Linked DNA regions of Mus musculus. The protein of the gene in region 1 purifies or fractionates together with the protein of each later gene. This does not show direct contact. Links are inferred from orthologs where the notes say so. Each region holds a gene or a part of one and is shown in the gene's direction. Other genes may lie near its edges.

Region 1 (3,982 bases):
GCACGTGGCTCCATGGGGGATGGCAAAAGCTGCCAGGGAGGCTGTCCAGGGTGACATCGGGGGCACAACCACCAAGCTGGCCAGTGGCTCCGACCAGCCACACTCAAGACCCAGGAGACCCCTCCCGACCTCCCCTCCATCGTTTGTTTCCCAGAGGCACCTGGAAAATGTCTAGGACCCCCCAGAGCCTTCACTGTAACCAGATCTCAAACTTCCCAAGCTCTATCGAACTTCTCCAGCTTCTCACTGCAAGCTGCCTCGTTTTCCTAAGGGTAGCTCCCAACACACAAGAAGGCGGCCAAGGTGATACACTCCCCAGAAACCAGCTCCTTGCCCATTCCCTTAAGTCCTTAAGTCACGTCCAGGTGAGGCAGACCTGTGGCCACTAGCAGTCTCGCACGCAATCTCCGCGTCTGAGCCAAATATCCCGGGAAAAAGAGGTTAGAAGGTCTGTTCATAGGGTGCCTCCTCCATGACGCCTTCCCGGACCACCGCCCTGCTCCTCTCCCCAGGAAAAGACCCTTCTCAGAGGAGAGGACTGTACTGAGCGCGGGAGGCCGCCGTCGGGGCTCGGGACACCGTACCGCCGACGGTTCTGCAGCGGCCGAAGAGAAGGACGCCCCAAACTCCAAGGCCCGGACTCTGCCTGGGCACCTCGGGTAAGGGCTCCAGACCGAGACCCCTTGGAGTCCGGGCCAGGAGGCGGGAAGACCGCCTTGGCCGTGGACAGTCGGCAGCCCGCTCTCCGGCTGCGCCACCACCACTTGTTAACCACCTCTTGGCTCCAGTCGGCTTGCGATCCGGCCAGCGGGACCCCAGCCCGCTAGAACCGCCGTACCTGTGCGCGCCGCCGCACGGCGGAGCAGCTGTCAGTCAAGGCAACACGAGAAACGCGAACCGCCGGCCGCGGACCTTTCGGCCTTGCTCGGACGCCGTAGCGCCGGGATCTACCACCACAGCGGGAGGGGGGGGACCGGGATGCTGCCGCGGGCTCGGAGGCTCTCGGAGCCCCGGGTGGGCACGAGCAAGGAACACCGCCGCTTCAGGGTAATCATGGGAGCCGGGGCAGGGCTGCGGCGGGATTCAGGGAGATGCGGGGCGGGGCTCTGGATCTTACGGGGCGGAGCTAGGGCGTAATGAGCCCCGCGCTATGGGCGCGCCTGGGGCGGGCCTTGAAAAGCTACTGCCGGCAGCCTGCACGCCAGACGCCGCCATGATCATCCCGGTGCGCTGCTTCACCTGCGGGAAGATCGTCGGCAACAAATGGGAAGCCTACCTGGGTCTGCTGCAGGCCGAGTACACGGAGGGGTGAGACGGCGGGCCGCGGGGGATGGGACAGGACGGGAAGGCTGGACTGGGGGCATGAAGTCGAGGGGCAATGGGGAGGGTTCTGCGGCGGACCGGGAGTGAAATTGAGGTGTCCTGGGCCGGGGGTAGATAAGATTTCCTATGGAGAATTGGCAGGGCAGGGGTTGTGGGGTCTAGTGAGAAGACTGGATGTCCTCCAGCCCAGACCTGTGATGTATTCCCAGAAGAGTGAGTCTTTAGTTTGTTTTCGAGGCAGGATTTCGGTGGCTGACCTGAATTCTCTATGTAAAGCAGTCTGGTCTGAAACACTTCGAAATCCTGCCTGTCTCCTGGATGTTGGGATTAAAGGCGTGCAATATCACGCCCAGGCTCTCAGAAGTTTGGAAGGTGGTTTTCTTCAAGTTGCTGGCCTTTGGGAAACTTCTAAGCATCCTTCCCGTGGGTGACACCTCAAGTCTCTTCCCTGTCGACCTACTCTCTATCCTCTATCTGCTTTCCGACCTACCCCTTATGTACTTCGAACCTCGTGGGCCCTTTAAAATGCAGGACAGGCTTTGTGGGCATCGTCTTGTGCTCACTACTATGACTGTCCCCCAAAATAGACCTCTGGCCACCATGTCAACACCAAGGGGTTCTCTTTCTCTGCACAAGCCATAAGTCAGTGGGGCTTAATGAGCAGCTATTAGATCAGCTCTGATGAGTAGCTGCTAGCCTTCTGGGACCCTCTTTCACTTGGGCAGGAACCTCTCAAGCTGTCTAGGTCCCAGAGAAATTAAATCTAGTGTGAGTTCAAAGCCTGTGGGGTAGCAACAACCAGTTCATGGCGTTTAGTCAGAGTCCACCTGTGGGGCCTGGAATTGTACTCCTTGATGAGGGGATATTGGTCTCCTAAGCTTTCCCAAATAACCCTGGAAGCCCATAACCCTGGGTACAAGAGACAAACGCAGAGATACAGGGGGTTAGAGAGATGGCCCAACTGTTTTTTTTGTTGTTGTTTTGTTTTTCAAGACAGGGTTTCTCTGTGTAGCCCTGGCTGTCCTGAAACTCACTTTGTAGCTCAGGCCGGCCTCGAACTCAGAAATTCACCTGCCTCTGCCTCTACCTCCCAAGTGCTTGGGATTAAAGGTGTGCACCACCACACCCAGCTAGATGGCTCAACTGTTAAGAGCACTGGCTGTTTTGTGTGTTTGGTTGTTTGATTGTTTTTTAAGAGGACTCAGGTTCCGTTCCTTGAAGCAACATGGTATCTCGCAAGTGTCCGTAACTCCTTTGGGCTTTGGGAGCATCAGGCACCCATACACATAAAACGAAATTTTAAAAAACAGGTGTAGGCAGAAGGCTGTTAAGGATGGATACAGGATGCTATGGGAGAAGACTGGCACATGAGCAGGTGTAACTTCTAGGTGGGGAAAGGGTCACCTGGCTCCTCCCTGAGCATCTAGATACATATTTCAGAAATCTCCAGGCCATTTCCCTATGGCCTGGTGTCAGGTTTCAATCGCTGATTATGTAGATGTGCTCTGGTAACCCCTATCCACACGAATACCCAGAGGCAAGCTGGAGGTGGTTCCAAACCTATCCAGACTCTAGAGACCACATCCAGCCTCACTCTTCTCTTTACAGGGATGCCCTGGACGCTCTGGGCCTAAAGCGCTACTGCTGCCGCCGCATGCTGCTAGCACACGTGGACCTGATTGAGAAGCTGCTGAACTATGCACCCCTAGAGAAGTGACCGCTGGAGCCTGCCCTCCTCTGTCTCCTGCTGGCCACGGGCAGCCTGTCGTGCTATGTTCAAACTGAGCTATTGGGGATGTTGGTGTATTGCCTGGCTGTGGCCCTGTGGCTAAGTCCTGTTACCCTGGAAGGAACTGTTTAGTAAAGATGTTTGCAGAACCACCAACAGGTCTAACTTCCAAGGTGCTCCATGTCCATGTCTGTGCTGTCTCTGAGGCTACCTGGCCTGCCTCCAGTCTTTCCCCTAGGGCTGGTCTCCTTCCCCTTCATCTGACTGGGAGTCTCGTCCTGTGGAGGAGTACCCTGCTTCCGTTCCCCGGGGCCTTGACCACTTTGATCAACGAGGTAGCCCTACAGTAGTCTTGTACCACATTGCTTTAGGGCCTCTCCGCTTCCTGCCTGTGTTCAGGATGGGCATAATGGATGTGGGCACCACACCATCCACAGGTATGGATGGGCCCAAGCCTGGTGACAATATTCCTTTGGAATGCTGAGCGTGCTTGGAGGTCCCAATCCTTGTGCTAGGGTTATTATGCATTTGGGTATTTGGTCTGCTTATAAGTCTTTGTATCACTGTGTCCCCACAGAGGCCAGATCCCCTGAGAGTAAAGTTATAGAATGTATAAGCTGCCATCAGGTATTGGGAATCAAACCCAGATTTATTTACCTTTCATTTTCCAAGACAGGGTTTCTCTGTTTGGCCTTGACTATCCTGGAATTCAACTCTGCAGACCAGGCTGGCCTTGAACTAAAGAGATCAGTCTCTGCCTCCCGAGTGTTGAGTTTAAAGGACGGCTTGTGCCACCCAACCAAACCCAGATACTGTAGGAGTACGCCCAAGGCCACAGGCCTCACGAATTTCTTGGGTCCTAAAGCCCATCAGCTGTGTGAGCCTATCTGCTGCCCATGCCTGAGGATCTTGTTTCCAGAATCTTCCCAG
Region 2 (4,156 bases), on another chromosome or scaffold:
TTACTAACGTTTACCTTCATACATATGCATGTGCCTGATGCCCATTGTGGGCCAGAACAGGGCCTGGGTTTTGAGAAATGAACCCAGGTCCTCCGCAAGAACAAGTGCTCTTAACCACTGAACCATCTCTCTAGCCCCTTATGCCCCTTGTGAGCGAGGGTCTCTCTCTCTCTCTCCATAGCCCAAGCTGTCCTGGAAATTTACCATGTAAACCAGGCCAGCCTCAAAATCAGAGACCCCTCTGCCTTTGCCTCCCAAAAGTACTAGGATTGAAAGTCACCACCACCATCATCATTATCATCTAATCTACTTTCCTGATTTTTTGATATTTACAAGTCAAAAAAGAAGAAGCAGAATTTAGTTAAGATAAATAACATGAGTGACCACAAAGTAAAGATACTCTATGCCCTTCCCATATATTTAAAGGTGTTTTCGGAGAAGTACTTACACATCTTTTTATTATGCTCTGAAGTTCCTCCACAGCCATTCCTAATTATTTTCCTAATTTTGATGCTGTAATGAACTAATACAAAAAAACCCAGTTAATTGTGTGATACCATGTAAATTATGTTTCATAAACCGTTTCATTCTGAATTATTAGACAACAAACACAATGTAAAGTTTTATAGGTTAACTGCTATTACTGAACGTTACTGTGTTAGCCTAATGAAGCATTTTTAAAAGCCCCTGATATAATGCCTAAAGAAAGTAATTTTTAAAGAATGACGAGTAAAAAAATAAAAAGAGCCCTAGAAAGAACTACTAGAAAAGCCTTTGTTTAAAAGGAAAACAAAAATCCAAATTGTGGACCTGGAATGAAAAATCTAATCATTAAGTAATTTTTTTAAATGTCCCATTGACAAAAACTGGAATCCAACATAATTAAGTCACCCAAAGAAGTTGAAGATTCCGATGCCGCCCACCCCATTCTCCACAGGATCTCCCTCCTCACATAAACAATCGTCAGTGAGATCACCGAGTATCACGAAAAGGAGGCCAGCAGCGAAGGTCCTTGCCCCGCAGGCGCGAACAGGAAAATCACACCCTACCGCGCCTGGCTGAGGCGAAGGGAGGCCATTTCTCCCTGCTCCTGCAGGGCAGGGTGTCCAGGCTCCAGCACCTCCAGAGGCCGAGCAGGAGAGCCGCGTGCGGCGCAGGTCCTGTTCGGCGAGCCCGATCCGCCCGACCCAGCATGTCTACCTACCCGCCGATCCACGCGCCTGCCTCTTGCCCTCCTCCTCCTTCTCCACTTCAGGTAGCGCAGGCCGCACTCCTGGCCCCGCCCCCGGACCGGACCCTCCCCCTCCGCCGCTCGCCCCGCCCCGCCCTGGGCCCGCCCCCTCCGCCGCTCGCCCCGCCCTCCCTGGGCCCGCCCCCAGCCCGGTTCCGGGCGAAGCGTGAGGAGGTAGATGTGCTGTCCCGACCCCCTCTTCTGACCGCATTTCCCCATGGCTGACTCTGCCGTACCTTGCTCTCTAGGCCCAAGTACCCGGGCTTCCAGCACCCACCGAGATGCTACCGGTACGAACAAGAGCCACCGTCCCAGGCTGGGACCCTGAGACCTTGGTTTGAGTACCACGCACGCGCGGGCCTCTTTCTGAGGCTGCGCCGGGGAGAGCGAGAACTCCGGGTGGATGAGGCCCAGAGCTTCCCAACGCAGGCTGTCCTAGTGCCTTCGGGGGAGGAATCCCACACTCTTACACAGGGGTTTTAGGATCTACCCGTACGTGGGAACAAGTGGCCAAGGCAGGTGGTGGTCAGTTGCCTTGAACCTTGGATTGCTTTGATATCTGGTCTCTGAGGTCTCAGACTCCTCTCTTTAGGCAAGGGAACAAACATTTGGGAGACTGAGCAATGTTTATTCTAAAGGAACCCAGTTTAGAGAGTGTTTTAAAAGCACTTGATTAAAGCGCATCCGATGAGAAAGAGTCCTCGAAGAGACTGCCGTCATGAAAATGTAAAATGTAATTAATTTACAGAAACAATTGAATTTGCTTCCTGTTTAGCCCCCCCTTTTGTTTTTGTTTTTCTGGGGGGGGGGTTGTTTTTCTTTTTTTGTACACATCGAAGTTGGAAATGAGATGTGTGAGAGAAAAGGAAATGGTGCCTACAGTGTGATATTTGGGGACTACTCTGCTACATCAAATGCATTGGCACTTGACTTTTCTCTCTTCAATTGTAGGTACTAAACAGACCCGAGCCCTGAAACGAGGAGATGCATCTAAAAGGTAGAACCACGTGGGCATCTGCATTTCACTTTGCTTTTATCTCATTAATTCAATCTGATTTGGTTTTTTTTTTCTTTTCTTTTTTTTTTTCTTTTCTTTTTTTTTTTTTTTTTTTTCTTTTTTCTTTTTGGTTTTGGTTTTTTTGTTTTGATGTTCTGTTTTCTGATCTTGCAATCTGGGAATTGAACTTAAAGACTTTGTACATTCTAATGAAGCTCTTTGTCTAATTTACCGAGCTATACTCCAGCCCAAATAGTTTAAAAGCATAGTGCATACCTTTCTTGAGAAAATACTGAAGACTCAGGAAGCACTGTCGATTCTCACGTAAGACTGCTCTGTCCTTCAGCTGTAGGAAAACCAATGTGGAGGCTTAGGCTGTTGGAAACTATCATGAACACCTGTAGAAAGTTCTGGGGACATAGTTCCTGAATTAACCAATCTTTCCCATTTCTTCAGGTACACTATTACTGTTGTATGTGCCAAGCTCGCTGAAGCAGGTTCTTTCTTTATCACTTCAAGGCACCTTTTGTCTTCTGGGTTTTTTGTTCTGTTGTTGTTTTGTTTTTCTTTTCTTTTTTCTTTCTTTTCTTTCTTTCCTTCTTCCTTCCTTTCTTTCTTTCCCCTCCCCCCCCCCTTTGGTTTTTCGAGACAGGGTTTCTCTGTATAGCCCTGGCTGTCCTGGAACTCACTCTGTAGACCAGGCTGGCCTCAAACTCAGAAATCCGCCTGCCTCTGCCTCCCAAGTGCTGGGATTAAAACCGTTCTCCACCACTGCCCGTTTTTTTGTTTTCTTTTATTTTGTTTTTGTCTTCTTTGTAACGTTAAATAGGAACTTAAAAACAAACCAACCAAAAGCATCCTTTACAGTTTAGAGCTTCCAAAAAGTCATGGCCTCTCGTGTCACAGAGGAGATAGCTAGAGCAAAACTCATCTGAAGAGACTAACATTCATCACTTCAGGACTCACCGACTCTTCTTGCAAGATAATTTCCAAATACAAGATCGTCTGTATTTGAGTTAGGCCCTTAGGATGTGTTGTTGAACAAGTCGGTTTTGCTCACAAGAACTGAGCTTCCACTTCCGTATCACTGCTCATCACGGAAGGACAGTCAGGTCAGGAACTCACGCAGGGCAGGAACCTTGGGGCAGGAGCCGATGCAGATACCATGGAGGAGTGCTCCTTACGGGCTTGTTGAGCATGGCTTGCTCAGCCTGCTTTCATACAGCATAAGCCCTAGGATAACATCATCCACAAATGGGCTGGGTCCTTCCCATCAATCACTAAGAAAATGCTCTTTAGGCTTGCCTGTAGCTAGAACTCATAGAGGCATTCTTTTTTTTTTTTTTAATTAAATATTTTCTTTATTTACATTTCAAATCCTATCCCGAAAGTTCTCTATACCCTCCCCCCACCCTGCTCCCCTACCCACCCACTCCCACTTCTTGGCCCTGGCATTCCCCTGTACTGGGGAATATAAAGTTTGCAAGACCAAGGGGCCTCTTTGCCCAATGATGGCTGACTAGGACATCTTCTGCTATATATGCAGCTAAAGACATGAGCTCTCATAGAGGCATTCTTAAGGTTCCCTCCTCTCCAGTGACATTAGTGTGTGTCAGTTTGATGTAAAACTGCCAGGACAACATTATTGACTGCCATCATTTGTGACAGACAGAGAACATAGTAAGGTACTGTAGATATCTGTCAGTCAGGAGAATGGTTAAACAGTCAGTGTGCTTGATAATTGGAGCCAGCAAATTGTATATAAATCTTAGTACATGACATCACCTTTATTGATGGGCATAAAGTGAGAAAAATTATTTTTCATGAAGCTTTTCGTATTTAATATAAAGACCTGTAATGTAATCTGTGTTCATATCTTTTTACTTTCTTTGATACAAAAGTGGTCTTTATGGAGTTAGTGGTTATAG
Region 3 (3,500 bases), on another chromosome or scaffold:
GTACAGGTGTTTAGTGAGTGGCCAGAATAGCCTGAATAAAGGACAGATGGGGACCTCTGAATTGAATTTTGTGATCCCATGTTGCCGTTTCATGAAGAAGGGAGGGCACTGCAGTTTATCCAGTAAGTAAACCTATTTTACATTCTTAATATGCAGTAGGGCCCCCTCTTGGTTATAGTTATATATAACTTCTGCAAGTTCAGTGGTACATGCATCTGGATTCTCAGGATGCCCAGGTCCAAGGAGGTTCAAAAGCACGATAGAACATGATTTATCTTATTTTGCTTCATTATAAAAAATACCACTACAGGAGACCTTTTGTTCACTGGTTAACCTTTTTGCCTAATTCTCCATTCACAATTAAATTGTACATGTTAGTAAATGTCATTAATAACTATAGTTTAACTTAGTATACTGTTGAATATTCATGTTTATACTTTATCTGGACTAAATTTTTATCAGTACAAATTCTATTTTAATTGTATCTATCCATATTTTATATAATTGGGACTTATTTAGAATCAATATGGATATATATATATTATCCTAAAACAACTTTTTAAAAATGATTTCTTTTTATTTATTGTGTGTGAGTGTTTTGCATGCATGTATTGTCCCTGCACTGCATGCATGCCTGGTACCCACAAAGACCACAAGAGGACACTGATCTCCTGGAACTGAAGTTAGACTGTTGATAGCTGCATGTGGGTACTGAGCACTGAACCCCAGTCCTGTGTAAGAACTCTTAGTGCTCTTCTTAACTGCTGAGCTGTCTCTTCTTCCCCCAGGTTAAGAGCGTTTGCTACTCTTACGAAGGCCTGAGTTTCCAGTACCCACATACAAGATGATTTGCACCTGGCTGTAACTTCAATACCAGGGATTCAGTGCTCTCTTTTGGCCTCCATGAGCATTGTTTACAAATGGTGCACAGATATATATGCTAGCAAAATATCCATATATAAGAAATAAAATAATTTTTCCCCTGAGACAGAGTTTCTCCGTATAGCCTTGACTGTTCAGAAACTCACTCTGTAGACTACTAGGCTAGCCTAAAACTCATGTCTGCCTGTTTTTGTTTCCTGAGCCCTGGGATTAAAGGTATGTGCCACTACCACAACTGACAATAGATTTTTAAAAAAAACTTGTTTGTGGCTGGGTGTGGTGGCACACGCCTTTAGTCCCAGCACTTGGGAGGCAGAGGCAGGCGAATTTCTGAGTTCGAGGCCAGCCTGGTCTACAGAGTGAGTTCCAGGACAGCCAGGGCTACACAGAGAAACCCTGTCTCAAAAAAAAAAAAAAAAAAAAAAGAAAAGAAAAGAAAAGAAAAAAACAAGAACAAACTTGTTTGTGCCCTGGCCAAATTATGAAACCAGGTTAGTATATAGGACACAATTAGTATCTCTAGCTTGAACTGTCTTTATATTAGTTTTAAAAAATACCTTGTTTGAGGTGTGCAAACAAAATCCTCAGTCTCGGATGAAGAACTAACAAATGTGGGTAGCAGAATAGTGTGTATAATCAACACATTTAAAACTGTAGTAAACTTGCCATCTGAACTGATATATTTCCAGAGTAATTGACTATGATATTTTATTTTAAAACGCTTTAGGGTCAGTTGGATCTTTTAAGGAGTAACACAGGCCTCTTATATAGAATAAAGGATTCTCAGAATGCTGGGTAAGTAAGCACCTATTTTTTAATTTTGTGAAAAATGTGTTTATTGCAAAAGTAATGTACATATTAAAACAAATGCTAACATAGTAACAGGTATTGTGGCACACACCCATATCACTGCACTTGGGAAGTAGGGCAGAAAATTTAGGGCTATCCTGAGCTACACAGCAAGTTGAGGGCCAGCCTGAGCTATGTGAGAGACTGTATGAACATAATGTAGCTCAGTATGTGGTGCACACCTGTAGTCTTGACACATGGGGGCAGAGGCAGAATGATAAGGTTGAAGACAATTTTAAGCTATGTGTCAAAAGATCCTGCCTCGAAGTAAGAACCCAGAAGAAACTGTACCATCCTGCTTTTGTTCTGTGTTTCCATTTCCCAGAGGACCTGCTCTTGGTAATTTCTTCTAGACAGATTTAAATATTCATGGATGATTCTATATATATTATTTCTTTTTTCCCTTTCTTTCTCGCTCTTCTTCTTTCTCTCTTTTCTTTCTTTCTCTCACAAGTCTGGATCATGCTATCCATACTGTTCTGTAACTTTTTTTTTTATTATTTATTGTACTTTGGACATCTTTTCATATTGTTACACACAACTCTGTCTCATTCTTTTTAAGGTAAGCCTTTCTTTTGCTAAATAAGTCAGCATGATAGCCTTGTCTGCTAATGAAGTAGTCATGCAGATGATAACACAGCCTACAATTTTTCCTTTTTTAATTCTGCTCTATTCCCTGCAGTAAAATGAAGGGGTCCGATAACCAGGAAAAACTGGTCTATCAAATCATAGAGGATGCAGGGAATAAAGGTGAGTATGGGAAGGGTGAGGTGCTGTCTGCAGGGCTAGACCTAAAAAAGTGTTCTGTTCATTTGTTTACGAGAAGGTCCCATCCTGTAGACCAGGCTTTCATACTCAGTATCTTCTGGTCTGGTCTTCCTGATATTTGAGATTGCAGGCATATCCTGTTACATGCAGCTAAGCATGTATGTTTTGTACATAGTCTCTTTCTTCATGTACAACTTTGTTTGAAGGAAAACTCATAACTTCCCACAATGGGTATTGAGTTTAAGAACCATAGCCTTATTTTTTTCCATCTTACAAGTAGGATGTTGTTTAAATAATAGATGTACATGAATTGAAGCAGGTAAACTTTTGTATCCCCCACCCCCACCCCATGGTTGAAGATGGCAGATGAACATGATTCAAATTTAAGTTCCTTTTCATTTACAGTGTTTTTTTTGGTTTTTGTTTGTTTGTTTTCGTTTTTCTTGTTTTTCGAGACAGGGTTTCTCTGTGTAGCCCTGGCTGTCCTGGAATTCACTCTGTAGACCAGGCTGGCCTCGAACTCAGAAATCTGCCTGCTTCTGCCCTCCAAGTGCTGGGATTAAAGGTGTGCGCCACCGAAGTGAAACTATCAGGAAGATGAGATTAGGGTAAAAGATTGGAAAGGAGATGTGATGTAAGCTAATTCAACCATGTTCGTGGTTTGTGTGGTGGGGTTTTTTTTTTTTTTTTTTTTCATTACAAAAATGTTGTTGTTTTATATATATTTTAGAAAATGTCCCTCTAGATGGTGATACATCACTTTATCCTAGTACGAGGAGAGGCAGAGGCAGGTGGATCTCTGAGTTCAAGGCCAGCATGGTCTGTACCGCAGCTGCATAGTGAGGCCCTCTCAAAAAACAAACAAAACAAAACAAAACCACACCAAGATTCCAGGAAATGTTCAGTTAGAATGACAAAGCATATACTTTATCACTGGCTCTTGTAGTCTGTCTCTATCCCAGTGTTTGGTTTGGTTTCTTCAGGTTTTAGGTTCTGAAAAC
Region 4 (3,941 bases), on another chromosome or scaffold:
GGAGTTGGAGGTGCAGAAGTGAAAGAAATGAAATAAACTTTCTTTCTGGCTGGGTGTGATGGTGTGTGTATGTAATCTCAGCACTTGGCAAGAGGATGGGGAGTCACCCTCAGGCACAGAACAAGTGGAGTTTGAAGACAACCTGAGCCCAAAAGGAACAGAGACCTCAGTCCCTTCTTCCTCCTTTCATCCTTGACCACCAGATGAGCAGTTTTGCTTTACCATACATTCCCTCTTGGGACCCAAATAAATTAATAATTTAAAAAGTGAAATGTTTCTAATAGGCTCTACCATTCATTACTAACCTCAAATAAACTGAGTATGGAAAAGATTCTGACAGAAGGGGGGATGACTAATTAGTTAACTAAGTCCTTTTATATTCTTTTTTCCTTTCTGGAAAGAATCAATAGAAAATCACTGGGTAGAGTCAAAGAAAGTGTAACCTTCCAACCAAAGAGTTGTGACAGCTAGAAGCAAAGTATAATTTGTGTGTATGTGTGACAGTTCTCACTTGAACTTGCCTCAAATTCATGGCAGCCCTGCTCTTAAATGCTGGGATTACAAGTGTAAGGCTGCAACACGGTTTCTGACAGGCTCTTTTAGCTGAAAAGGCAGTATCAAGGCCGTTGGGGAAATTGAATACTACAAGATTACATGGTTGAATCACTGTTAGCTCTCTTATTTGGGTGGCTGCATTGAAATTACTCAGGGAGAAACCCTACATTAGTCAGTTTTTTTCTATTACCTTAACAAAATATGTGAGACAAAGCTGGTGGTCTAATCTCCGTGAATTTGAGGCCATTATGTTTCACAGAATGAGTTCCAGACCAACCAGGATTACACACATGGTGATAGCCGGCCTTAAACGACAATAACAACACAAAATGAAGACAGCTCATAAAGAGGAACGGTTTCTTTTATTTTGGTTCACAGTTCTGGAGATTTTGGTGTGACTGGTCCCACAGCTTAGAGCCTGCGGTGAGCAATACAACACAAAAGTGAAGCTGCTCTCCTGGAGGTCCGAGACGAAAGGGGAGTTACTGCATCCTCCTGCAAGGGGGAGGGTGTGATCCTCAAGGGAAAGAACCAAAGAGTGGGCGGGGACGCGATCCAGTGAGGGGCGTGGCCTTACTGCTGGTGTACCCTGGGCGGGGCCTAGAATGTCACTTCCGGTTTTTGAGTCCGCGTGTGAACCGGCGAGCTCATGGCTACTCTGGAGTCTCCTGGGATGGATGACCAGGCTGGAGACACGGAGACAGAGGCGCTACAGAGTGCAAGGTGGCTGTACTGTGGAGAGCCCGACGACAGGCAGAAAGCTGTGCTGGGTAAAGACCGCCGACCCGGAGCGGAGTTCCGCGTAATCCTTTCCGCTTCTGTCTGGGTACCACGGTAGCCCACTGCCTGCAGCCGGGACAGGTTCCCTGCCACCATCACCTTTTCCCTCCGCATTCATCTATCGTCACCACTTCGGACTCGTCTCAGGGCAGTGCCCAGGGACCTGACATCTCCACAGCTCTCTCATTTGCCCTTTTCCCCCCTCTACGGAGCAGAGTTTCCTCTCTTGCCAGTTAATGGCATTTCCTCAGTCGTTCTCTTTTGTCACAACCCCTGCCCAGAGGTCACTTCCCCTCCCCTCCTCCATCTCCCTCTTTAGAACTGGACCAGGGCTTTCTTCATACCCCCCCGCCCCCCGAAAGTCGGACTTAAGCTCCCTTGCCTTCACTACCGGCGTCCAGCCACAGTGCAGGTCTCCCCATCCATACCCTGCTGGTCCTCGCCTCTTATTCTTGGCTTACACTCTTACAGTCCAGTTCTCCAATGGGAAGCTGCAGAATCCGGGCGACATGCGCTTCACCTTGTACAACAGCACCGACTTAGTAAACCCCAGGCAGAGGAGTCACCGGATCGTGGTAAGTGCTTGCTGGTACAGATGGTCTGGGCTCTGCAGACCTCAAAAGGTTCTTGGTGTGGGCAGACATGGGAGACCTGGCCTGGGGGGGAGGAAAGGAGGAGTAGCAAATGAGACTCTGGCCCCACTGAGGAGCAAGATTTTGGGCTTTTCACTTATATGGGCTTTATCTTTCCAGACAGGGTTTCTTCCTGTAGCCCTGGCTATCCTGGAAATTACTATATAGACCTGGCTGGCTTTGAACTCAGAGAATCACCACCTGTCTCTGACTCCGTAGTGCTGGGATTAAAGGTGTGCAGCACCACCCACCCCTGGCTTCATAAGTTGTCCCCCTACATGACCTTATTGAACGTTCACCATGTCCTCATGCCGCAGGCTAAGGAAGCATCTTCATGGGATTTGCACCTCTTAGGGAGGTCACTGTTCAGAGCTCAGCTTCAACCCTATTTTATGTGTATGGGTGTTGTTCATTTTTGTCTATGTACAATGTGTGTGTAGCTAGTGGAAGCCAGAAGTGGGCATTGGATCCCCTAGAACTGGGGTTACAGATGCTTGTGAATCAAATGTGACCCCAGAGTGATGGTTTTTTTGTTTGTTTGTTTGCTTGTTTTTTCAAAGGTTTCTTTGTACAGCTCGGGTTGGCCTTGAACTTAGAGATCTACCTGTCTCTGCCTCCTGAGTGCAGGGATCTGGGATTAAAGGCCTGTGCCACCACCACCCAGCTCCACAGGATGCTTACTAGCATCTCTGGTCTCTCCCGGGTAGATGCCAGGGTTAAGACCGGTCTGCTTTCCAGAGACTCAAATTCACCAAGTAGTACAGGCATACAGTAGAGCTAGCTTGGGGTCTAAGGGAGTGTTTAGGGCCTGGGGAGGGAGCTCTGTAGGAAACAAGTCTCAGCTTGTCTGAATGCCTTCCTGAGAAGGGTGAATGGGAATGAGGGACGATTTGATAGCAGATGTTTGGTGCCCTAGTGAACGAGGGAGAAGAAAAGCTTGGCTGCGATGGGAAGCCAGCCCTCATAGGACGAGCTAACGTCAGAAAGGTCACAAGGCAGTTATGTATAGGATCAGTTAGGTACCTATAAGTGCTAGGAGACCAAGACCTCACTGTATAGTTCGTTGTGCTGCTTATTCAAGAACTGCTATTTTCATCTGTATTCCCACTGCCTTCTGCCCACTGCCCTCCCCCATATCCCCCTCCTGCTGGTCCCTTGCCTCCCTCCCAAATAAGTCGCTCTTTCATGACATACATACTGGGCTGGAGAGGTGCCTCAGCATTAAAGAGCACTTCCAGGGGACCGGGGTTCAATCCCTGAACCCACATGGAGGTAGCAACTGTCTATAATTCTAGTTCCTGAGAACACAACACCCACTCCTGGTTCCTGTGGGCACGTCATAGATAAGGCATGCATGTGTGCATAAAGGCAAAGCACTCTCAACACATCAACATTATATCTCATTACATACATACTATATCAGCCTCTCGTTTCCCTTCTTTTGCACCTCTTATGATTCCTTTCAACTCTCATGCCTTGAATGTGTGCATATTCACACACACACACACACACACACACACACACACACTCTAAATCTAGATTCTGCATAGGAGAGGAAAACCTATTTTCTTTATCTGTTTTTGTCATTGATGCGCATCTAAGCTGGTTCCATTTCCTGGCTGTTGTGAATCGTGCAGCAGTAACCATGATTGTAGAAGTACAATACAGTGTGCTAACTGAAGAGCCTTCTGGGTGTATGCCTAAGAGTGGTCCAGCTGCCTCACACAGCACTTCCACTTGTAGTTTTTGAGACCCCTCCACACTGACTTCCACTGTGGCAGCAATAGCTTGCACTCCCACCAGCAGTGAGTAACGGTTCTTTCCCCACATCTCTGCCAGCATTTGTTGTTAGTTGTTTTCTCGGTGATAGCTGTTCTGACTGGGGCGTGATGGAATCGCAAAGCATTGTTTGTTTGCTTGTTTGTGTGGTTGCTATTTCTCTGTGGAATAGCCCTGGCTCTCCAGGACTTGCTT
Region 5 (4,205 bases), on another chromosome or scaffold:
TAGAAATGTAAAACAAGTTACTTACTGATATTATGAAGATCATTGCTAATCAATTCTTACCTCTCCTGTCAATTCCCTGAAATACTTTGTTTCTAGAAAGGCACACTGTTGTCTTACATGTGTTATGAGACTGGGTTTCTCTGTGTAGCCCTGTCTGTCCTGCAGCTTGCTTTGTAGACCAGGCTGGCCTCAAATTCGAATTCAGAGAGATCCTCCTGCCTCTGCATTCTAATTGTTTGGATGAAAGGTGTGTGCCATCAACGCCCAGCCCAAAATGCCTTATTTTTTTTCTCCTCATTTTTTTTTTGGGTGGGGGAGGGAGTGTGTTCTGTATAGCCTTGACTATCTTGTACTCTCTTGGTAGACCAGGTTTGTCTTAACTCTCAGAAATTTGACAGTCTCTGCCCCTCCCAACTGCTGGGATTAAAAGTGTGCAGCAAGAAAATTTTTCTATTTTGTTTTTTTGAGACAGGATTATTCTGTTCAGTCCTGGTTGTCCAGAAACTTGCTCTGTAGACTGGGCTGGCCTCAAACTCTGAGATCCGTTTGCCTCTGCCTCCCAAGTGCTAGGATTAAAGACGTGTGTCACCATCATTGTTAGGCACCCCCCTTTTTCTTTTTAGAAAGAGTCTCAAACAAACAAAAAGTCTTTTGTACCTCAGGCTAGACTTGAATTCACTATGTAGCTGATCTGTGTTTTTTGTTTTTTGTTTCTTTTTGGTTTTTCGAGACAGAGTTTTTCTGTGTAGCCCTGGCTGTCCTGGAACTCACTCTGTAGACCAAGCTGGCCTCGAATTCAGAAATTCGCCTGCCTCTGCCTCCCAAATGCTGGGATTAAAGGCGTGCGCCAGCACTGCCCGGCCACAGGATCTCATTTGGTAACTCAGGCTGGTCTTGAACTTGCAGTGATTGTCCAGCCTCACCCTCTCTTGCGCTGGTATTACAAGCGTGAGTCTGTTTCAGCTGTTTAAGCTTTGTGTGCTGAGCTTTGGTGAGCATATCCATCAAATGCACCACTTAAAATGACATCATCCAGGAAGGCCCGGCGACCCTTTTCTGCCCACTCTCTTGGGTACTTTGTCTGGAGTAAAGACTATTTTGAACGTGTTAAATTTGTATTTTCAAAGGGTCTATCTGGCTGTTGTGCAAAAGAAAGACAATCAGGCTTGAAGTGCAGACTTGTCGCCTAGCAACCAGACTCTCTCAGGGGCCCGGGGTTGGCTTGCTTCAGGATGGGGCCCCGCCCTTTCGGCACTCTACCCCGCCCCTCTTCTCTCACTTGCGGGAGAGTGCTGGCGGCCCCGCCCACCTTCCGGCCCCGCCCCTCACGGGAGCCTCGCGAAGCTCTGCGACCCGCAGGGGCGGGCAGATGCTTCTTATTGGTCAGTTTTCCGGAAGCTGAGTTGATTTGGTTTGGCAAGCGCAGCGTTGCTGGACGCGCGTGGCTCCCGCGCGTGGTGCGGACGGAACGAGGCCAGGGTGGCATCCGGGGACGGGGAGCCGGCGCTCCTCCAAGGCTGGCGGGAGCGGGCCTCAGTTTCCTCCGGGAGACGAGCGTAGCTTCCAGAATTGGAGCCCAGGCCCTCCCGCGCAGCTCGGCTGCAGGTTTGGCTTGTCAGAGGCTGAGAAGGGACGGAGGAGGCTCGGGTCCCCCCCACCCCATCACAGCTCGCAGGCCCCCGTGCTTGGCAGCCTCTCCGGTCTCCAGAGCCCTAGCGCAGGATGTTCGTGCTGGTGGAGATGGTGGACACCGTGCGCATACCCCCGTGGCAGTTTGAGCGGAAACTCAACGATTCCATTGCTGAGGAGCTGAACAAGAAATTGGCCAACAAGGTACTGGGCCCTCGGGCTGCCCGGCAGTGTCCCTACCGGTCCCACTGCTAGTCTGGCTATCGCCTGGTTCACCCTTGGCCTTGCACACTTAACTTCATGTCGGGGTTTTTTTCCTTCGCATCCTTATAAACCAGACTTGGGTGACAACGTGTACACAAGGGAGTAAATGGGCCGGGCGAGGTAGTGCACACCCGTAATCCGAGCTTCTTGGCTATTGAGGCTTTTTGACGATCCTGTGTTCGAGGCCAGCGTGGGCAATATAGTTAGCCCTTGACTCAGACAAATTAAAAGCACCGAAGCTGCTGGCGGTAGCGCATGCCTTTAATCCCATAACTCAGGAGGCAGAAGCAGGCGGATTTCTGTGAATTCGAGGCCAGCCTGGTCTACAGAGGGAGTGCTAGAACAGCCAAGGCTACAACGGAGAAACCCTGCCTCAAAAGAAACAAAAAGCATCAGGATGCTGAACAGTGCTTGAATTTGCTTGACATTCGCGGAGTCACTGGTTCGGTTCTCAGGATTGCCAGAAAACAAAACGGAGAGAGCGTGTGTACAAAATGGGTTTGTAAAACAGAAACTGGAATATGCCTGTTTCCTCGTTCAATTACTGTGTTGTCTTGGCCAAGTCACCCTCTCTGGGCCTCGGTTTGTGTTATCTGTGTTGCCCACAGTGTGAGAGTAGAGGTGAGAGGATAAGCGTGCGGGTCTCTAGAATTGAACTCAGCTTTCAGCTTTAGAGGGAGGCAGCTGTACCGGCTGAGCCAGCTCAGTAGCCCCTTTCTTGTATTCATTTGGTTACTGTGTTTCCCTTTCTATGACTACAGGGGCCTTCTCGGACTTTCACTCTCTCCAATGGGAGACACAGGCTCTGCCCTTGTAGCCTAGTGAGAAGAAGTTGGCTTGAGAATGTCTTGTTGTAATGAGCTGGGGTAAATGCCATGAAGGACAGGCATTCACAGAGTGGGGAACAGGGGAGTGTCACCCGGGATGAAAGAGATGGGTGACTTCTGAGGAAACAGCCATTGCTCTGAGAGCTGATGGTGGGAAGACACCAAGTAATGCCTCGGACAGGCCTTTCTGTGAACTTTTCACTTTGGGACTGTGTCCAGGCTTTTGGGCCTGTCAAGCGGGTCACTACTGGAATGGATGTAGCAAAGTAGAGAGACTCTGTTTCGATGGTTGGAGTAGGTTGGGTGTAGAGCTGTGGAGGCAGTGCATTTAGCATGTGCAAAGGTCCTGAGGCAGGAGAGGCACAGAATGCTGGTGTAGCTGGAACGGAAATGTAGACGGAAGCCAGACCACAGAGCCCTGGAGGGCCTTATAGTCCAAGCTGTTCTTTACGGGTCGGTAGGATGTGATCTTCAGAGAGCCAGAAAGAAAGAGCGAGTTTGGCTTTTACAGGAGACAGGTAGTCCCTTATAGGAGACTGAGGCCCTAGGAGAAGGTACACACACAGATCTGAGGCTTGTCACATGGAGGAGGAGAGAGCTCACTGACAATCCTTTAATTTTTTTTGAGACAATCTCACTATGTAGCCTTGGCTGGCCTGGAACTTGCTATAGTCTACGTTGCCCTTCCAATCCCAGAGAACCATCTGCCTCTGCCACCCAGGTGCTAGGATTGAAGGTGCGTGTCACACCCAGTCTTAGTTGCTGCACTAGTGCTGTGAGGAAATACCATGAGCAAGGTGACAAGAGAAAGCATTTTACTGGGGGCTTACTGTTGCGGAGGTTGTCCTTCAGCATTGTGGTGGAAGCGTGCTGGCACACGTGGTGTTGGAGTAGGATCTGAGAGCTATGTCCTCCACTGCCAAGGGAGTAACGCTCGCCTGCTGTGGGTCTGTGAAACCTTAAAGCCCACTCCCACTGACACAAGAAGGCCATACCTTCTTTCTAATCTTTCTCAAGTTGTGTCCCTCTCCGATGACTTAAGCATTCACATTTATGGGCCTGTGGAGGTCACACTTAGTCAGCCATGACATCCAGGTCTGTCTGTCTGTGTCTGTCTGTCTGTCTTGTCTTTCTTTTTTTCTTTCTTTCATTACATGGATTTATTTTGAATGTGGGTGTATATACCACAGCACACATGAATAGGCCACGGCACAGCTCATAAGGAGAAAGGGGTCCTGGGATCTACCTTGACTGCTGAACCATTTTGCCAATACCATCTCCCCACATCTCATGGGACTTGAATTCACTTTACATCCACTGTGTAACCAAAGATGGCTTTGGACTTCGGATACCCCTGCCTCCCCCTCTCAGCTGCAGGGATTACAGGCAGAGATCACCATGCCCGGGTGAGGTCAGTTCACTGGATCCTGAGAGAGAAACCTCCACAGATGACGACTGCTGGGAGCTCTGCCCCAGCTCTGAAGT
Region 6 (4,071 bases), on another chromosome or scaffold:
ACAGCCTGGCAGAGCCAATTTTATATCAGAGAAAGCAGTCCCAACATTCTGTTCTTTTTTTGTTTTCCTGGGCAGAAAAAAAAAAAAAATGGAGGGGGTGGGCTAGGAAAGTGGAGCTAAAGACACTGGCAACGTGATATCCAAAATAAGTTGAGACAGTACGTCCTACCTTCTTCCCAAAGCCATTTCCTTCGATAGCAACAGGGAGCGCAGTCTGCAAGTCATTGGTACACTGCTATTTTCACTTTCACAAGAACCCAAAAACCACTGAAGAACAAAATCTCCCTCTTCCCTGTTACCTTCCAAACCTCCTCTTTCTGTACTTCAACAAAACCTACTAAGAAGTCCTCAGCAATATGCTATTTCGGCTCACTGAGGATGCAGAAGGGGGGAGGATCTGGTTGAGAAGTGGGAAGAAAAATAAAGAGTAGGTGAGCCGCAAAAACGGAAAGAGTACAGGGGATAGGTCATCGCGAAAAGACAAGGAAGGGGACTGAGAGCAAATTGGACGCAGATTTGCCCGAGAATTCACCGAGGAGACAAAAAAAGATGGGGGTGGTATTAAAGAGCGGAAGCGAAATGAGGGGCTGATTGGAGACGCCGCGGAAATGAGGGATAGGCAGGACCCTGGCCCTGATGCCCAGGGTTTGCGACCAGTGCCCGGAGACAGCGGGCAGCAGGTACCGAGAACACCGGTGTCAAGGGAATCACGGGTGTGCGGGCAGCCTAAGACCCGGTTTCCAGCCCTAGGAGCCAAGGACCTACGCGGCGCCGGAGCGCGGGACACACGGGGCTCTTACCGGTAGTTTGGGATTGACCTCGCCCTTACAAAAGTGGCAGAAGAAACGGTGTGCGGCGACAGCGGAGCCCGCGTCCGCCCCCGCCGCCGAGGCCTCCGCCATGTTTCGCCTCCGCCGAGGATGTCCGAAAGGGCGGCCGGCGGTCCCTCCCCAGGCCGCTACCTCCCGTGCTGCGGTCGCCACCGCCGTCGCCGCCTCCTCTGGGCGGCCCGCCGCTCCGAGGCCCGCAAGGGTCACGTGAGTCCGCCCGGCCCCGAGAGGCCCGCCCGCCAGCGGCCACGCGACCCGAGGCCCGCCTCCCGGCACCAAAGGCAGAGGAGAGCCCGCCCGCCGGCACCTCAGACAGCCCCTGGCCGGTCCTCCAGCCTCCCAACGAGAGGAGAGAAAGAGCGTCCCCGGAAACCACCGACACTGTCGGCTAGAGCGGCCCGTGCTCTGACCCTTCCGCGTCCGCCTGGATGGTGCTCTACTTCTAAGAAGGGGCGATGGGAAGCTCATGAGCTGAGGCTGCTGGCCTCGGGAGGACAACATTTGGAGCTTCTAAATTAGCCCCGACCCTGAGGTTAGTGAAAACGCTGCCGGAATGAGGAGGCCCTGACTCAGGGCCAAGAAACAAAGTCCGGAACAGAAACTTGCATGAAGGGAGAGGAGCCAGGAAATGCATTCAAGGATGGCAACTGGTCTAAGGATGTTTCTCCAAAGACGTGTGTGTGGCTAAGTGAAATAGTCTTCTCTGCGACACTGTGGCAAGAGGGACAAAAATTTAGGTTCGAGAGAGTTGGAGCTTGTGATAGGGAGGTAATTTCAAAATCAACTACACCCATTCCTGCTTGTGTCTCATGATGTAAAAATTTAATATGGTTCTCAATGGAACATAACTTCATCTCCTAATTGAAATACCCTAAGAAGCTCTTTTTTTACTTTATCTATCTAAGTCGTGGTTTATGGCTTGGGAATAAGTTGTACCCCACTGGGTCATGAGCCTTAGGTCTTTGTATCTGTGACAGAAAGTTATTCGCACTTTCCCTCCCCCTTTGCTTTTAAAGGTCTCACTCTGGACCAGATTTGCTTGGTATTTATTATGTAGCCCAGGCTGGCCTTCAGTTTATGACAGTCTTCTAGCTTTAGTGCTGGAAATACAGATGTTAGCCACCATACCGAGATGAATCCAGTCTTTAAAGATTATTGGAACCACAAACCACATATATTCCCATTAAAATAAATGGCATATATAGGGGAGGATGGCTTGCCTTTTTTTTTTTTTTTTTTTTAATTTTAATAGGATCTCATGTAGCCAACCTGGTTTTGAACTCAATATGTAACCATGAGCTCCTGACCCTCATACTTCCACCTCCTAAGTGCTGAAATTGTAGGCTTGCACCACCATACCTGGCTTTAGAAAACAAATTTGATGTCTAGTTTTCTAGTTCTTTGTTTTGGTGGGTGGTGGGTGTATTACCCACCAGAGTCTTGCTGTATAACACAGGCTGGCTTTGAACTCACTTTGTGCCCAGGTTGACCTGGAACTATTGATTCTTTGACTTTGGTCTCCTGTGTGCAAGAATTACAGGCAGTGTACACCATCATATCTGACCATTGCAATTACTAAATGACAACACATTAGGAATATTTTATGGTAGTTATATTGTATGAAGTCATTTTAAATGTTGGCATAGTATACTCTCTTAAGGTTATACTATAATTTATTGATAGATGCTAGATTATTTATGTCAATGCCAGTATTGTGAAGAGAACTCATGGCATGGTTTTTACTACATCCTTGGAACAAAGGATCTCAACTTATAAATATTAAGGCAAATATATGCCTTAATATATAGAGGGTTTGATTTATATTGTCAAGTTGCCCTCTAGAAAAAAAATATGTGAATTTATATTGTTGTTCTTTCCTAGTTCTGAGGCTCTAAGAACGATGACTCAAGCAGAGATTAAACTGTGTTCTTTGTTGCTGCAAGAGCATTTTGGTGAGATTGTAGAAAAAATTGGAGTCCACCTAGTCAGAACTGGAAGCCAGCCACTTAGAGTAATTGCCCACGACACAAAAGCATCCCTGGACCAGGTATGTTTAGATAAGAGAGTCTGTTCCTCTTCAACTTCTTCAATCATTTCCTTCAAGTACCTTTGGACAGGAGAACTCCTTCCCCTAGAAAGTATGAACAGAGACCGTCTGCCCTGTGGTCAGTACCACAGTGGGTGGGGTGGGGTGTGGTATTGTACTTAGGCCCCGTGTACTGCCGCTTGTGGTGTTCCTAGCTCATCTTGGCTGTTCCCATGCCACACTCATTTATTCACAGTAAGTCTACTGGTGGGGTATGGCCTTTAAGGAATACAGTGATAGAACAAAGTAAGCTGGGCTGCCCATCCTGGCCCAGAATGTAGCTCAGTTGGTAGAGTGACTACATTGTAGTGACAGTTTGAGGATTTTGGTTTCTTTAAAAATACAAAAATAGAGCCGGGCGTGGTGGCGCACGCCTTTAATCCCAGCACTCGGGAGGCAGAGGCAGGTGGATTTCCGAGTTCGAGGCCAGCCTGGTCTACAGAGTGAGTTCCAGGACAGCCAGGGCTGCACAGAGAAACCCTGTCTCAAAAAAACAAACAAACAAAAAATACAAAAATATTATAAGAATATTTTTTCATTTTAATCCCAAGTATGCAGATATGGGGCTGCTTCAGACTGTCTATGATTTGCCTCATGTTCTAGCAGAGGCATGGTTCTGCCAGCTATAGATAGTTCCTGTGATTGTGCAGTGTCTGGGATTCTGGGAACTTTTCAGAGTGTGTATAAATGCCAGCCCCAATATGTGGAGTCGGGGGGTTGGTGGTCATTTAGGGAAGTTGTGATTTACTAGTAGTGTTGGTCAAAGAAGAAACGAAAGAAATTAAATTCAGGGATTTTCCTAATTCCTCCTTGTTTCTCTCTTATGAAGTGTTAGAGGGTGAAACCCGGGTGGGGATGGGAGTGGGAAGGGAGTATCAAGGGTGGGAAAAAGAAGAACCCACAAAGTAGCAAAGACCATTCACACTGCATAGCAGCTAAAATGTCCTGCTTTGATCTCCAACACTGTATAGAACTGGGTGTGTTTATGTTTATGATCCCACGACTTGAAAGGAGGGGCTGGGAAGTTCAAGGTCACCCTCAGATACACAACAAGTGTAAGGCTTCCCTGGGCTCCAGGAGAACCACATTCAAAACAGAAAACTAGAAGAAAGATAAAGATCAGACAAAATAAGCCGGGCGTGGTGGCACACAGGC
Region 7 (4,282 bases), on another chromosome or scaffold:
TGCACCTCAAACACTCTTGGCTTTGGGACGCCTCTTTGTCCTTGTTAGTCATTCCCCTGACTGTGCTGGAGTCTAAACACAGTGTGTTATTTATGCCCTGAACTGGTCCTCCAACTGGGCTGTCAGCTAGCTTGGAGAGTGTGTATTATTCACATCTGAATCACCAGCACCCAGTGGGCAATCACGGTAAGACTGTTGAGCGAGTAACACCATGAACACCATTGTGGGACCCATTCTCCTCAAGACAGGTACAGGGCACCATTCAGTCTTACGTTATGATGACATTTTATTTACTTGATAATTTTTTAATTTAATTTTTTCTTATTTTCAAATACCATCATTCTTGGATGTACCTGTTGAACACACACACACACACACACACACACACACATGTGTTGGTTTTTATGAGACAGAGTTTTCTTTTCTTTTTGTTTTTTTGAGACAGGGTTTCTCTGTGTAGCCCTGGCTGTCCTGGAACTCACTCTGTAGACCAGGCTGCCTTGAACTAAGAACTCAGAAATCTGTCTGTCTCTGCCTCCAAAGTGCTGGGATTAAAGGCATGTGCCACCATACCAGCCAGACACCCTCTATTTCTAATACATTATCCCCTGCAAACCATTTTAACACTCACACCAATCTCAGCACTGGGAGGCAGAGGCAGGCAGATCTCTGAGTCTGAAAGGCTACTTAATGAAAATCTGTCTCTCCCCCCCAACTCCCAATTTTTAACGGTTGTATGGGAAACGGGATCTCTACATAGCCTACGTTGACTAGAATTCACCATGTTGCCCAAGCTGTCCTCAAACTCAAGGCATTCCACCTGCCTCAGCTTCCTACGTGCTTAAACCATTCCCCCAGTTCTATTTCTGTCTGTTGAGACTGGGTTTCTCTTTTCTCTGCCTCCTTCTTTCCCCCTTGTTGGAATTAGAGGCTTGTGCTACCTTGCCTGGCTTATGTTTTTTGTTTTGTTTCATTTTGTTTGGTTTTTTTTTTTTTTTTTTTTTTGGTTTTGTTTTCTGTTTTTTTGAGACAGGGTTTCTCTATGTAGCCCTGGTTGTCCTGGAACTCACTTTGTAGACCAGGCTGGCCTCGAACTCAGAAATCCGCCTGCCTCTGCCTCCCAAGTGCTGGGATTAAAGGCGTGCGCCACCACTGGCCGGCATGTGTTTTTTGTTTTTAACAAAAACAAAAACACAAAGTCTCAAATAGCCCCCATGGCTTGAAAGTCATTATGTAGCTCAGGCTGGCCAGAAACTCCTAACACTTCTCCTGCCTCAGCCTCTCTACTGCTGGGTTTACAGGTATGAGCCAGTATGACCGGTTTAGGGATTTTAATGCGGCCAAGGCAAATCCTAACAAAACCTGCACTACGAAAACGCTCGACAGTCTGAAATTAGACCAGGATAGGGACACCTAGAATTAAGGAAGAACCGGGCGTGCCCCGCAGCGATCCCGGCATGCACCCCGGCGGTCCCAGCGTGCCTTGCGGCACACACACGGAACCGGTGAGCAGAGCAGCGCCGGCGCAACGTGAGACTCTTCTCACGGCGGTTGCGTACGCTGAGGCAGAGGCAACATGGAAGTGTAAGCGACACGACCAGGGGAAGCCAGGATCATCTGGGGACCGCGAAGCGGCCGGCGGCTAGACCTCGGGACCCGCGAGCAGGACGGGTGGGCGGGGTGCACGGGCCGGAAGTGCCTGGAAGTGGGGCGGCAGGGGAGGGACCCTGCTGCTTGGGAACTCGCTCGCCTCCCACATCTTTTGGGGAGGGGAATGTTGAAAGGATAGAGAGGTTTCCTTTTTTTCTTTCTTTTGGTTCTGGGAATGGATCCCAAGACCGTGCACGCGGTCTGGAAGTAGTGCGACCCAGAGATAACGTCCCAGTCATTATCATTACTATCTTGGGATGTGGACTTTGCATACGCTAGGGAAACACTCTACTACTGACTGAGTCATATTCCCAGCCAGCATCATCACCATCATCGTTTTGTGATGGTGGAAATGGTACCCAGGACTTTGCTGGGCAAAGGCTTTGCCACCGACCTGCATCGCCAGCCATTATCGCTATTGTTATTTTGGAAATTTGAGGAAGGTACCCAGGGTTGTGATCGTACTGGGTGTGCTAGTTTTCTTTCGGTTGCTGTGACAAACACCATGACCAAAGCAATTTAGGAATAGAAAGGTTTTTATTACATCTTACACTTCCAGGACACAGTCCATCATTGAGGGAAGTCAGGGCAGGAACTCGAGGCAGGAAACCGAAGCTTCAGAAACAGTTCAAGAACTCTGATGGCTGGTTTACTCTCTGGCATTTTCTAATTTTTGTTTGTTTGTTTGTTTGTTTGTTTTTTTGAGACAGGGTTTCTCTGTGTAGCCCTGGCTGTCCTGGAACTCACTTTGTAAACCAGGTTGGCCTCAAACTCAGAAATTCGTCTGCCTCTGCCTCCCAAGTGCTGGGATTAAAAGCCTGTGCCACCACCAGTTGGCCAGGTTGTACCCTCCTGCATCATTTAATAATCAAGACGATCCCTCATGGACATGCCCATAGACCAGCCTGATAAAAGGCAGTTTGTCATTGAAGCTTCGTCTCCTTTTGATGATTCCAAGCTGTTTCAAGTTGACAGTTAAGACCAACCAGAAAACCAGGCCAAGTTTCCCCCCCACTCCCTCCAGACAAGGTTTTTCGGTAGAGCTCTGGCTGTCCTGGACCACGCTTTTTAGACCAGGCTGGCCTTGAACTCAGATATCCATCTGCCTCTGCCTCCTGAGTGCTGGGACTAAAGGTGTGCGCCACTACCGCCTGGCAACTAGGCAGATTTCTGAACAGTACCCCCAGCTGTTGTTGGGATATACTCTTCTTCCTTCTCCTCATCATTATGGTCATCATTTTGTGATGTTGGGGATGGTACTCACAGTCTTACACATGCTTGGCAGGTACCACTGAATGACAGACACCTTCCACACCGTTATTATCATTGTTATTGTGATGATGATGTGGTGTGGTGCTGGGGATAGAACCTAGGGATGGTAAGCAGGTACTTTATTACTAACACACACACACACACACATACACACACACACACATATACACATACACACACGCACATACACGCACACACACACACACACACATATACACATACACACACGAACATACACACATATTCTCTCTCTCTCTCTCTCTCTCTCTCTCTCTCTCTCTCATGTGGTGTTTGGGATGGAAGGGACCTGAACATGCAGACAGTCACTCTACTAACAACAAAGCTACCTGTCAGCTTATTTTTCCACACTTTTTTTTTTTGTTTTTGTTTTTTTTTTGGGACAGGGTTTCTCTGTGTAGCCCTGGCTGTCCTGGAACTCACTCTGTAGCCCAGGCTGGCCTCAAACTCAGAAATCCGCCTGCCTCTGCCTCCCGAGCGCTGGGATTAAAGGTGTGCGCCACCACACCCGGCTCCCTGTGCCTTTTAATATATGGTCTACTATATAGTCAGAGTTGGGAAACTGGACCTCTTCTTCCTTTTACAGCTAGCACTTAGAAAGGAGAGGCAACAGATACATAACAAGCCAGCAATAGGCTTCAGATGAGAGTGCCTGTTGGCTGGCTGTGAGGTGGGAGGGAGCTCTAGGTGAAGTGTTCGTTGACTTCGATGCCTTCTGTTTTCTGGTATCAAAGGGTAGCTTTTCAGAACATGAATTGATGGCATGCTGCTTTTAAGCTTAGAAAAGTTTAGCAATTCTGTTCGTCACTCCGTCCCTAAGTCAGGTGTGTGGCAATTAATAGGCACTGCTCACTTGTTTGGTGTGTGCTTGTGTGTGCTTTTAAGGAAAGAGTGTCAATAGATCATTTTGTTCTGTGTATTCAGAACTCTGTTTTCCAAAATGCCTGTTTACTTCTGTTGAGCTGACTCAGCAAACTTTGCAGGGTAAATTTCAAATGGCAAGTCAGCTTCAGTTCACTAAGGAGTTGCTCAAGGGCACTGAATAACCACCCACCTACCGCACAGACTCCACAGTCTTTAAAATTCACTCGGACCCAGGGTCGTGCTCCTTAGGAGTGGGGGCAGGAGGAGCACAAGGCCGAGGGCAGCCGCAGCTGCAGAGCAGGTTCCAGGCCAGCCTGTGAGTCTGTCACAGTGAGAGCCTGTCTCAAAAACACACTGAAAAGGCCCAATCTGTACTGAGGCGATCCTGCCTCCACCGCCCTGTCCCCTTCTGCGCTGGCTTGAGTTGTCCGGCAGTGACTTGGAATGGCCAAGGTCACGTTTCTCAATCACGAAAGCA

What was found.
Region 2: the proteins of Polr2l (region 1) and Rpap2 purify together in Homo sapiens (affinity purification with mass spectrometry; 3 studies listed by BioGRID and IntAct, with this or other methods). This does not show direct contact. The link is inferred for Mus musculus from reciprocal best matches to the Homo sapiens genes POLR2L and RPAP2.
Region 3: the proteins of Polr2l (region 1) and Polr3f purify together in Homo sapiens (co-immunoprecipitation; 3 studies listed by BioGRID and IntAct, with this or other methods). This does not show direct contact. The link is inferred for Mus musculus from reciprocal best matches to the Homo sapiens genes POLR2L and POLR3F.
Region 4: the proteins of Polr2l (region 1) and Polr1e purify together in Homo sapiens (affinity purification with mass spectrometry; 3 studies listed by BioGRID and IntAct, with this or other methods). This does not show direct contact. The link is inferred for Mus musculus from reciprocal best matches to the Homo sapiens genes POLR2L and POLR1E.
Region 5: the proteins of Polr2l (region 1) and Polr3h purify together in Homo sapiens (affinity purification with mass spectrometry; 4 studies listed by BioGRID and IntAct, with this or other methods). This does not show direct contact. The link is inferred for Mus musculus from reciprocal best matches to the Homo sapiens genes POLR2L and POLR3H.
Region 6: the proteins of Polr2l (region 1) and Polr3c purify together in Homo sapiens (co-immunoprecipitation; 3 studies listed by BioGRID and IntAct, with this or other methods). This does not show direct contact. The link is inferred for Mus musculus from reciprocal best matches to the Homo sapiens genes POLR2L and POLR3C.
Region 7: the proteins of Polr2l (region 1) and Crcp purify together in Homo sapiens (affinity purification with mass spectrometry; 3 studies listed by BioGRID and IntAct, with this or other methods). This does not show direct contact. The link is inferred for Mus musculus from reciprocal best matches to the Homo sapiens genes POLR2L and CRCP.

What each region holds. Positions count from the first base shown.
Region 1 is NC_000073.6:141,472,354-141,476,335, reverse strand, and holds the start of Polr2l (DNA-directed RNA polymerases I, II, and III subunit RPABC5), read left to right. Parts: upstream 1-1,182; 5' UTR 1,183-1,213; coding exon 1,214-1,308; intron 1,309-2,931; coding exon 2,932-3,040; 3' UTR 3,041-3,982. UniProt on the Homo sapiens protein: DNA-dependent RNA polymerase catalyzes the transcription of DNA into RNA using the four ribonucleoside triphosphates as substrates.
Region 2 is NC_000071.6:107,596,340-107,600,495, forward strand, and holds the start of Rpap2 (putative RNA polymerase II subunit B1 CTD phosphatase Rpap2), read left to right. Parts: upstream 1-1,356; 5' UTR 1,357-1,448; coding exon 1,449-1,521; exon of another isoform or gene 1,522-1,918; coding exon of another isoform or gene 1,919-1,964; intron 1,965-2,182; coding exon 2,183-2,228; intron 2,229-4,156. Other genes in the region: Glmn (glomulin), read right to left, coding at 449-487.
Region 3 is NC_000068.7:144,530,745-144,534,244, forward strand, and holds part of Polr3f (DNA-directed RNA polymerase III subunit RPC6), read left to right. Parts: intron 1-1,609; coding exon 1,610-1,677; intron 1,678-2,413; coding exon 2,414-2,481; intron 2,482-3,500. UniProt on the Homo sapiens protein: DNA-dependent RNA polymerase catalyzes the transcription of DNA into RNA using the four ribonucleoside triphosphates as substrates.
Region 4 is NC_000070.6:45,017,468-45,021,408, forward strand, and holds the start of Polr1e (DNA-directed RNA polymerase I subunit RPA49), read left to right. Parts: upstream 1-1,141; 5' UTR 1,142-1,204; coding exon 1,205-1,325; intron 1,326-1,806; coding exon 1,807-1,910; intron 1,911-3,941. UniProt on the Homo sapiens protein: Component of RNA polymerase I (Pol I), a DNA-dependent RNA polymerase which synthesizes ribosomal RNA precursors using the four ribonucleoside triphosphates as substrates.
Region 5 is NC_000081.6:81,923,414-81,927,618, reverse strand, and holds the start of Polr3h (DNA-directed RNA polymerase III subunit RPC8), read left to right. Parts: upstream 1-1,405; 5' UTR 1,406-1,722; coding exon 1,723-1,833; intron 1,834-4,205.
Region 6 is NC_000069.6:96,724,640-96,728,710, reverse strand, and holds the start of Polr3c (DNA-directed RNA polymerase III subunit RPC3), read left to right. Parts: upstream 1-1,271; 5' UTR 1,272-1,362; exon of another isoform or gene 1,363-1,598; intron 1,599-2,711; 5' UTR 2,712-2,730; coding exon 2,731-2,877; intron 2,878-4,071. Other genes in the region: E3 ubiquitin-protein ligase RNF115, read right to left, coding at 801-902. UniProt on the Homo sapiens protein: DNA-dependent RNA polymerase catalyzes the transcription of DNA into RNA using the four ribonucleoside triphosphates as substrates.
Region 7 is NC_000071.6:130,027,824-130,032,105, forward strand, and holds the start of Crcp (DNA-directed RNA polymerase III subunit RPC9), read left to right. Parts: upstream 1-1,482; 5' UTR 1,483-1,576; coding exon 1,577-1,584; intron 1,585-4,282. UniProt on the Homo sapiens protein: DNA-dependent RNA polymerase catalyzes the transcription of DNA into RNA using the four ribonucleoside triphosphates as substrates.